2 linked regions of the Drosophila melanogaster genome follow. The gene in region 1 interacts genetically with each later gene. Each region holds a gene or a part of one and is shown on either strand. Other genes may lie near its edges.

Region 1 (5,141 bases):
CACCCTTTTTCCGGAGCAGGCTGCTCGGCCCCTTTTGTTTCTGGAAGGTGGCGAAGCGCGGCACCGCCACCGCCGTGGATTTGGATGACCCCTTTGCCGGATACATGGCGTCGGCAGCTGGACTGAGGGTCAGGAGATTCAGCTCCTGGTTTATCTTAAAGAGCTCCTTCTCGCGGGACAGAAGCTCGGCCATTACGGTGGGTCGATGCGAGGACGGTGGCTAAGTTTCTTGCAACAACGATTGTGATTTGATAAAAGACCTGGACAATCTACACACATTGAATTTTTCTCAGATTTAATTTGCTAGTAGCTCCACACGGCTATATCAAGGTTAATACTATAAATTCGGCTGGAGTTAATAAATTTTCCGGACGCCAAACAGTGACAGTTACCCCGGCTACGTAGTCCTGAATCCCCCGGCCGCCTTTTGGGAATCGGCCTGGTCCCTCCGGAACTCCATGTCCTGTTGCTGTTCAATGGGGTGGTTTTCGGTTTGTTCGATTGTCCCCCCGACGACTGTCGCTTGGACTTCCCCTTTTCGACGGATTGAGGAGTTGGAAAATTTTTTATTTAAATTTATTTATAGTCAATAAGGTGGGCAGGCCATGCTCTTAAGAGCTTGCTTAACTATTTTAACATAAATATATAATAAATAAATAATACATTTTAAATTATTTAAAAAATTTCCACTCATAAATATATGCTTATATTTTATTTGTGTAAAGTACCTATAATGCCAAATGGTGAGGGATTTACCCATCCCAGTCCTTGTAGAATTCTCTCACGTCTCAAAAGAATAATTCGTCCACTTCATCCAAGTTTTCCCCACACATGTATAACCGAAACAGAGGAACACGCATAATAATAATAAATATTGATAGAACTAAAGTATAAACAGCGACGGGCAGCTTCAAGGGAAATACGGCAGAAAGTAACAACAACTCGGGGTCTCCGAGGTGTCACAGCTACCTGTACTCGCACCTGGGATCTCGAGGTTGCAAGGGCGCTGGGTTCACAGAATGTAGAGACAAGTTCAAGATTTATGTGCCTACCGAGTAAAACAAAAGAAGAGCAGCATGTGTCCCACAGAGAAGCCTCGTCAGTCCAAGCAGTCAGCCCCACCAGTGGCCATATATGCCGTCATCAAGGTGTTCTGGTGACAGCCCACACACTGGCCATAATTGCACCGATCTGCTGCCAAGTTTGAGCAGAACCTGACTTCCAGTTGCGAGCGCACAGCTGTGGCCGAAAGCATGACGTTGGCCTGGAGGCGCTCCAAAGACACTTGGATACCACCTGGATACTTGGAAACTTAGTCTAGAGTGCTTCGAATCAAAGCATTTTTATAAATTTTAATCACAAACAAACATTAAAGAATATGGCAAAAAATATTTAAATTTAAAAAAACCTTAGCTAGGGAATATAGGGTTTTTTGTTGAGGTTTCCAGCCCAATGTTTCTCTATGTGCACACTTGCGATATGGGATGACCGCCGCCCGACCCTCTAATTATGCCGCACTCATTAGAAAGACAATCTGGACCCGCAGCCGTAGGTGTATTAAAGGGAGCCAGCGGAGCGTGGCCGCCAGTCCCGCCGGTCATCAAGTGCAGCTCAGCTGGACGACGTGTTGCTGCTGTAAAACTGGCAGCGACACCGCGGCCACCGCCAATTGAGGCGATACTATACTATGCCTTAGTGAAGAGATCGTCGGAAGAGCGCACATAGACTTGCCAATTGCTCCGAAAATCCCAGAGCGCCGCCACTCCGAATCTTGGCAAGACCGGTTGTCGGCCATCGTCTTGGCGTTTTCGTCGGAGTGCGAGTGGCTCGGTTTCGGGCCCAGTCAGTCTTGGCCAGGTCGGTGTGCGAGACACATCCACAGCGCTCAACGAACCTCTATCCCATCGATCCCATCGCTTCGATTTCGATTGCTATTCCGATTCGTTTCGATCCCGAATCGTGCGTGAGTTTTTCGAGTGGCGTAGCTCTGCGGTTATGGCTCCGTTTACCCGGTTCTAATTGGATCGTGCGTGTGGATTTGAAACGGCTTTCCGTGGCTCCAAGAGACGTTCATGGGTTTCCGAGATTTGAAATAGTTGCGGTTGTTGCTGTTGTGCCTGTGATGTTTCTGTCGTGATTTTCTCTGATTGTTGTTGCCCTTGGGAAGCGATTAAGCTCGACGGGTGGTTGAACCGGGCCAGTAAATACGTGCTGAATGATTTGTGAATCTTTTGAATATTTCGCGTTGTTTTCTGGGGAAGTGCAAAAGTGTCGGGAAGTTTGTTGCCTCAGTCTTTTGTGTTGAGACGGCGTAATAGCAGCAGCAGCAGCAGCAACAACAACAGCTCGGATTATTTGCCACAATTCGCACAAAGAGCAGCTCTTAGCGTCTCTTTACCACTCTTGGCCAACTCTTAAATGTGCAATTCCCGCAGCGTTAACATGTAAAACGAGTGTTGGCCACAAAACGAAATAATTATAGAGGAAGCCCGCAAAAAAAAAAAAAAACACTTAGGAAGTACATAAAAACAAAATCAAACTAATGTGAAACCAAAATTCGTGAAAATATCTAAAATCATCATCGTTCCGGGCAACCAGTTTAAGGCACAGCGAAATCGCAACAACGGACACATAACAAATTGGATTACGCAAAAAGGGCGAAGTTGGCTAGAGGTGAGTGTTGCGGAGTTGCTGTTTGAAAAGCCATAATCGAATAACCAGAAACCCGAAACCCGCAAAAAGAAACAGTTAAAATCAGGCAGAAAATCAAAGCTGTGCCGTTTGCAAAAACAAACCCAAAACAGCCTTAAAAGATGACTTCATAAATCGCCGACGCTGTGGATGTGCCAAAAATCCATCAGCCAAACCGGTTGGCTTCACTTCGCCTCGCTCGAAATTCGGAATTCACGGAATACCAATACTTGTACTCGGGGGAACAAATTGAAGAAGCGTTGCAATCTGTTTTCTGTGCAAATGAAATGGGCCTTATCTGAAAAGCGGCCTGAGAAGCCATCTGTCCGGGGATCTGAACCTGTTTGCCAAGGTTGCCAGTGGCCGATGTTGGCTGCCAAGTTCGCAGCCAGTTGCATCATCTGGGGACACAAATATGGCCGCGATGGGGTTGGCCATCGGCAATTGGCTATTTGAGTAGCCACATCACGGACATCCGTCTTCCATCCGCTTTTCCTGCCTTCTTTCCCGTTTTTCAATGCCCATTTCTGGATGCGCACCGCATAAGTAATGTGTCATCGGGCTCTTGGAATCAAAGGTCCATTCACATTTACCCCCACTCCGTGTGCGGCCATTATAAGCCAGAATCTGTTGCTAATTGGCTGACCCAACATTACCCACATGAGCTGAGACCGGGTTCTTCTCCTTGTGGAACTTTTAGCACTTCCACGGATCACACAGCCATAATTATGTTCGTTCCATTGTGTTCGGGTTGGCGTCTAAAGAAGCAATTAGAAATGTTGATTGATGGAGAGATGAACCCCGAACCCATCCCGATCCGACACTTGCATCATCTTTGGACTATGGGAATGTGATGCACGGCCTTTCCCTTTTCGGTGATGCATGGCCTATTAATTGGTTAATTTGTGGTTTGTTAGCCATCAAAATATTGTAGTTGGCCAATGTAATGGTCTTCATCTGCGTTGAATACAACGCCTTGACTAGTGAATAATGGCTCATCCGCCAAAGGCGTTTATCTCCAACTTCTGTTGGATATTTCCAAGTTCTCCGGCATTCTCGGAAAGCTTTGCGTCGAGGAACGCCAACGCAAGCGTAAAATTTGTATAATTAAAAGGCGAATCTGCGCCCGAGCTGCTCGAATACCAGTTTCTGAGCCATCGTGTAGTTAACTTGTTTATATAACAGCCAGACAACAACTCGCAGTGACCTTGAAGCGGGCACAAAATAAGGTAAAGACGGAAAATATGATTGTACGTATAATTTCGTATTATTTTGCTGCCTGGCGATGTGTGTGCTCAGCTAAGTGAGAGAAGTGAAGACATATGACGGATTTTTGGGGGTTTATGAACTAAGCCGAGAAATGCGTGTGGGCTTGATTGCCAAAAGCTGTGTGATTGATTTATAATCTCCCGCGGAAGAACTAACAAAGAAAGCGCCAAAAATGGTGAGGTCATTCAACCAGGCCAAGACCTTTTCAGCGTTAGATTTCCGCCTGCTCGTTGGTATTGATTTACAGTTGAAACGAAAGACTTAGGCAACGAACTTCGCGACTGCATTACTCATACGACACGTTGGCGCTCAGCACTAATTATGCAAAAACCCAAATGCTAGCGAAAGGCGTGCCCCAAACCCAGCCGTGAGTCACAAGCTTCGCTTGCCCCCCGTTAAACGGACACTCTGCATTGGGTTGCTTGTTTGTTTTCGGCCAAAATGAAAAGTCGTCTGGCTAGTTGATCCCCCACTCTCCAGCCTCCTCCACCACCACTGGCGAATTAAACCAACATTGGCAAACTCAAGCGGACTTAAATGCAGGCTTTTACCTTAGATCAACCCCACGCAAAACCCCGCGACTGCAGTCGACCGACCACGAGGTTGTTCAATTCATTCCAAACACTTTCAAATCCAAGCCTTAAAAGGGGAGTGGCAGGCCAAGACTTTTGAACTGCGGACTGTGCTCGAAGGAAGTGGGCACAGAACTGTGGCCAATACTTGGTGTGTTAAGTTCTCAGACACTAAGATATAAGATAAATAAATTATTGTAATATAGTAGCGATCGTCTATGATATCAATGTCTAAGTTTAGCATTTATGACACTACAAGTGATTTATCTCAGTGAAGTTCTACGCTCATTAACTTCAAGTACGAGACTATTTATGGTTTAGAGGAAATCCTCCTCAAAAGTTAGTTACTTAAGTACTGAGCCGAGGAAACTTGCATAAACTTATTATGGGAAACGTAAGGTCAGCTCGGCCTGTCATTAATAAGCAATGCCCATTTCTCGAACTCATCAGTCGAGTCCCTCATCACAAACAATAATTAGCTTTAAAAAAAAGGGGGCTCAATGAATAAGTTTTAATGATGAATTTGGCTGATTCTGACCAGCAGTAGCTGCCAATGTACGAGCAGCTGGGAGGCTGGATTTTTAGTACTTCTAGACGCGAAACCCCAGC
Region 2 (5,954 bases), on another chromosome or scaffold:
TTGCATCTTTCGCACCAGGCACACTAACGAATGCAAGTGCTTAGAGATTCATATTCGTACTTATGATAGGTATGCAGGTTGGCCCACACACACACCAGTCGGCCATAAAGCTGCCAATGGCCGGCCGAGAGCAACTGACAGCATCAGCCTTGTGGAGTCACAGGCCACCAGCGGATCGGGATCTCTACTTCCATCCTAGCGAAACACCAAACCCTGAGTATCCCATCCCCGCCCGCATTCCTTGCCATTTGCACGCAAAGCTAACTGCGGATTACAGTCGAAGTTCGATGGGGGACAAGAAGATTCCGAAAGTATACACCACTTGCTACTGCTCGTCGAAATCATTCCTGATGTACATTCATATATAGGTAATCAATTAGGAAAACTTTGAAACACGTCTGTTTGGAAATCAGAACAAACCCAGTCTTGGTACAAGAGGTACCCCAGAATGAATGACGCTGTTGTGGGGGAGCGTTGCACAAATTGGAGTTCTACTGTTGGCTGGCATCCAGCCTGAAACTCACCTGTGGCTCACTCCTTGCGTGCGCCGACGTCTCAACTCTTGCTCCGACTTTGGCCTTAGGTTCGCTCCGACTTGGCTTCAACTTGGGATTCGTGGCTTTGTAGGTGTTTCCAGGGGCCACAGCTGATGCCTTGACAGCTACTAAATTCTCCGCCCGTCTGACGCACACGTTCCTTGTCCAATTTTGGGCACCAGGCGGATTTTCCTCCTGGCCGGCGCTTATCGCCTGGCCATAAATTCATGCTGTAGGTGTCTCGATCTTTTCGGTTTCTTTCTTTTTTGGCTTTTTAGCGTTTTGGCGGAGGTCCTCGCCTCGTGGACACGCAATGAAGCTGTTTCTTCGTGCGCCGGAATTTCCCCGCGGCATGCAAAATGCAATTAACGGCACTTGCAGTGCGCCGGAAATTGACAATTCAATATAATGGGTTCCTTGTTTTCGCTAATTGGTGGTGCTTATGCACGCATAAATTAAGTAAACACAATACGAAGTCGTATTTAATTGGTCAAAACAAACTAGAGCTGACAAAAAAGCTGGCGTCCATTTTGTTAACAGGATCAACACTCGATTAAATTAGGAAAAGTAATCGGTACTTAACGGTCACGAGATCTATCGATCAGAACTTCCCCTCCAGCAAATCATAAATGTACTAATAGCGTATATTATAAATATAAACGAAGTTATTATCTAACTAAAAATTCATCGCATTGATCAGCCTTCGCAATCTTCGTCACAATTCCGGCCAATGCCCATTTAAAAAACGAATCAAACTAATGGTAAAAAATTATGAAAATGTAAATAAAATTTAAAACATTATTATATTCATACAATTTCTTAGCAATTTCGTTATAAAGTTAACGTGGAGCAAATTCAAAGCTTAGCTATTTTTCCGCCCATTCATAATCGATAATCTATCGATAAATACAATCGAACCAGTAAGTGAATCTCAACTAGTTCCTTTTCAATCCAGTGAAGAAACAAGAAATTTTAAGAACAAAAAAAACTACCAGATCTCGGTGTCGAGTTAATTGAAAACTGAAAGTTATAATGTGCAGAATCGGCGAATATATACTGCCTACAAAACGCAGAAAAAAGGTTGTCTTTTAAAGATAAGAACAACATCGGAGCTATCGATACTTAACTGGAGTTTTCACATCGATAACAGATGAACCAACTGGGCACCGCTGAGTGACGTGTAAGCGCAGCCAGAAAACCATTTCAATTGTTTTACCCACAATTTAACCGAAAGTTGCAAGACAATGGGTTCGTTCCGCCGCGAGAAAGATGATGAGGAGGACGGTAAGTAGCAAGCTAGCACCTGGAGCCAAGTTGTCCGCCGACCAGCGAAGCCAATCGAAGACAACCCAGTTGCTTGAAGGTGCTCCGCTGGCACAGACACACACTCACACACCCACTAACCCGACAAAGTCGAGAAAAATCGAGGTTTCCCTAAATTGACTGAGAACATGAACTATTTTTCCCTTACCTCGCACAAAAAACATCGCGGCCATCCGTCAGCAGGACCGAGCAATGCGTACCAGAACCTGGAAAAAACCTCGGTGCTTCAGGAGACGCGCACCTTCAATGAGACGCCGGTGAACCCAAGGAAGTGCATCCACATCCTGACCAAAATCCTGTACCTGATTAATCAGGGTGAGCAGCTTGTGGCCCGCGAGGCCACCGACTGCTTTTTTGCGATGACGAAGCTCTTCCAATCTAAGGACGTGGTGCTGCGTCGTATGGTATACCTGGGCATCAAGGAGCTGAGCTCCATTGCCGAGGACGTCATCATCGTGACTAGCTCGCTAACGAAGGATATGACCGGCAAGGAAGACCTGTACAGGGCCGCCGCAATCCGGGCCTTGTGCAGCATCACGGATAACACCATGTTGCAGGCCGTGGAGCGCTACATGAAGCAGTGCATTGTTGACAAAAACGCGGCAGTTTCTTGTGCTGCATTGGTCAGTTCTTTGAGATTGGCCAACACTGCCGGCGACGTGGTCAAGAGGTGGGCAAACGAGGCCCAGGAGGCTTTGAACAGCGACAACATTATGGTACAGTACCACGCGTTGGGTCTGCTCTACCATATCCGCAAGTCGGATCGGCTGGCTGTCTCCAAGTTGGTCAACAAGCTGACCAGAGGATCTCTAAAGAGTCCCTATGCCGTTTGCATGCTGGTAAGTGAAGTCTGAACCCAAACTTTTCTTAATGAAATGGATATGCACTTATTCCCTTTAAAGTGACATCTGACTAATTTCGTTTTACATCCCCCAGATACGCATTGCCTGTAAGCTGATCGAGGAGGAGGACATTCCCTCTGAGGAGCTTTCCGATTCACCCTTGTTTACGTTCATCGAGTCCTGTCTGCGCCACAAGAGCGAGATGGTCATCTACGAGGCGGCCCACGCCATTGTCAACCTCAAGAACACCAATCCGCGAATGCTATCGCCGGCGTTCTCCATCCTCCAGCTTTTCTGCAGCTCGCCGAAGGCAACGTTGCGCTTTGCGGCTGTGCGCACGCTTAACAAGGTGGCGATGACGCACCCGGCTGCGGTGACCACCTGTAACTTGGACCTGGAAGGTCTCATCACGGACTCCAATCGATCGGTGGCCACTCTGGCCATCACTACGCTGCTAAAGACCGGCGCTGAATCCTCGGTAGAGCGTCTGATGAAGCAGATCTCCACGTTTGTGGCGGAGATTTCCGATGAATTCAAGGTGGTGGTCGTGCAGGCCATTTGCGCTCTGTGCACCAAATATCCGCGCAAGCACACAGTGCTGATGAACTTCCTCAGCGGTATGCTGCGCGAGGAGGGTGGCCTTGAATACAAGACCTCCATAGTTGACACCATCATCACGATCATCGAGGAGAATGCGGACGCCAAGGAGTCCGGTTTGTCGCATCTGTGCGAGTTCATCGAGGATTGTGAACACGTTTCACTGGCGGTGAGGATTCTTCACCTGCTGGGCAAGGAGGGACCCTTTGCGGCCACACCCTCCAAGTATATACGCTTTATCTACAACCGCGTCATCTTGGAGAGCCCTATTGTGCGAGCAGCCGCGGTCACGGCCATGGCCCAGTTTGGAGCATCTTGCCCAGCCTTGTTAAGCAATATCCTCGTTCTGCTGGGTCGTTGCCAGATGGACCCGGACGACGAGGTGCGTGACCGTGCCACCTACTACCTTAGCATTCTTAACTCGGAAAGGCCAGAGCTGTACAAGAACTACATCATCGAAAGGGAGAACTGTTCTCTGGCTCTGCTGGAGAAGTCGCTGGTCGAACATCTGAATGGTGACGTGGACACACGCTTCGATATTTCCATTGTGCCCAAGGCGGCCATAGTTAAGCCAGTTATTGCCAACGACGTAATGCTAGTTACCAGCAGTGCTCCACGGCCGCCGAAGATCACGCGCGAGGAGGAGAGTGCTGCACGTCTGGCACAGCTGCCGGGCATCCAGGTGCTGGGCCCCATCCATCGCAGCACAGCTCCCATCCAGCTTACTGAAAGTGAAACGGAGTACACGGTGCAGTGCATCAAACACATATTCGGCCAGCACGTGGTCTTCCAGTTCGATTGCTTGAATACGCTGTCCGACCAAATCCTTGAAAATGTGCGGGTGGAACTCACGCTGCCGGAAGGATTCACAACCAGGGCGGTCATTCCATGTCCCAAGCTACCCTACAACGATCTGCAAACCACTTTTGTCATCGTAGAATTCCCGCCCGACGCCGCCAATTCCATAGGTAAGTTTATAAATAACATAAATTTTGTATTAAAATCATACAACTTTTTTCAAAACGAACTATTTCCTCATTTCAGCCACCTTTGGTGCCACTTTACGATTTGTGGTCAAGGACTGCGACCCCAACACCGGCGAGCCGGAGTCAGAGGAGGGCTATGACGACGAGTACATGCTAGAGGATTTGGAGCTGACGGTTGCCGATCAGATACAGAAAACCAGAAAGAACAATTTCCAAGTGTCCTGGGATGCGGCTGACAGCGAAGGTGCCACAGAAAGATAAATAGGGTCTATTCAATGATTAGTAATACTCTATATTTGCAGAATGGCTACAAGCCGAGGATACCTTTGTGCTGTCGGCAGTGACCACCTTGCAGGATGCCGTCAACACTATAGTCAAGATCCTGGGCTTGGGCGCTGCAAACCTCTCTGAGAATGTGCCCGAGGGTACGCACCTGCATACGTTGCTCTGTTCAGGTAGGCATCCTTCGCTTTTAGTTCTGAGATCAGTAGTACAGTTTTTCCCCCTTTACAGGAACCTTCAGAGGCGGCGCCGAGATTCTTGTGCGGGCCAAGCTGGCGCTTTCAGAAGGCGTCACGCTCAATCTGACGGTGCGCAGCACGGACCAGGACGTGGCGGAGCTGATAACGGCGGCCATTGGATAAGACAGCGAGCCATGCAGGAACCTCCTTTGGTTCCTGCGTGCTGTGAACGTAATCTGAACTCCCTACGAAACTACGAAACAGAAAGTTACGCCTAATCAAAATATAATTTGTACCTTTAAGCGACTGTCTCTGTAATAATCTTAGAGCCCTGTCCACAATCCGGCATGTGCAACATTGAGTATTGCTACTGGCCATTTCCGAAAAGTTTGTGTGGCGATGCAGCCTTCGGTGTGCATCGCATATGTTTATTATCCCCATTTAGCCTGTGCATTTAGCTTAAGTATGGAAACAAAATATTAAAAATACATGTATATGCAATGCAACCCGACCTGAAGGCGTTTATTTGGCAGGTGCTTTTAAAGTAGGACATTGAAATGATTTTAATGATTGCAAGCTCGTGGAAACCGCACCTCCAAAGAGAAATTGCTTCATAACTAGAACTTACTTTATTTTATATGGTATTTTATTTAATTATAAATAACTTATAGTTGCAGTAGCCTAGAGTACTTCTTGTTTTCCTATTTTTACAAATTTCTTTTCTCGTTTGAATCGTTTATGTTCGCTGCGTCCTCCACATTCGTCTTAAATTACAAATTAACCTTTCTCACATGAATTCATAATTTCTTGTGCTTTTGTTCGCAATCGATTCCTTATTATACATTCTCCGATTCCGACTATGCTGAATATTTTTGTGTAAAATGTATCGACGATGCAGTTCCATCAATCGTTCGAAACGCTCTTCCGTATTAAATATTTAAAATGTAAACGCACACAAGTATAAAAATAATATAGATTCGTAATAACAAATAACACACTCATGCAGTTCGCAGCAATTTCACAATGATAATTTCATTTCGTTACAACTCCTATACTCATCTCCAAATGTGTTGAATATGTCATTAGATATATGTTTATATAGTTACGAGTGGTTGGTTGTCTGTTGTGTTTCATGCGGATTTCTCGCCAGGCGAGTGGTATTCGATTGGAGATGTGCACCATCATCCCGCCTGGCCTGCTCTTCAGATT

The links.
Region 2: of pio (region 1) and gammaCOP, changing one suppresses a phenotype caused by changing the other (phenotypic suppression), as found in Drosophila melanogaster (one study listed by BioGRID).

What each region holds. Positions count from the first base shown.
Region 1 is NT_033778.4:24,579,406-24,584,546, forward strand, and holds the start of pio (piopio), read left to right. Parts: upstream 1-1,839; 5' UTR 1,840-1,963; exon of another isoform or gene 1,964-2,435; 5' UTR 2,436-2,673; intron 2,674-5,141. Other genes in the region: CG4681 (uncharacterized protein), read right to left, coding at 1-193.
Region 2 is NT_033777.3:31,570,459-31,576,412, forward strand, and holds gammaCOP (coat protein (coatomer) gamma), read left to right. Parts: upstream 1-1,684; 5' UTR 1,685-1,780; coding exon of another isoform or gene 1,781-1,820; 5' UTR 1,821-1,987; coding exon 1,988-2,698; intron 2,699-2,795; coding exon 2,796-4,266; intron 4,267-4,342; coding exon 4,343-4,528; intron 4,529-4,586; coding exon 4,587-4,739; intron 4,740-4,797; coding exon 4,798-4,928; coding exon of another isoform or gene 4,929-4,985; 3' UTR 4,986-5,249; downstream 5,250-5,954. UniProt on the Drosophila melanogaster protein: The coatomer is a cytosolic protein complex that binds to dilysine motifs and reversibly associates with Golgi non-clathrin-coated vesicles, which further mediate biosynthetic protein transport from the ER, via the Golgi up to the trans Golgi network.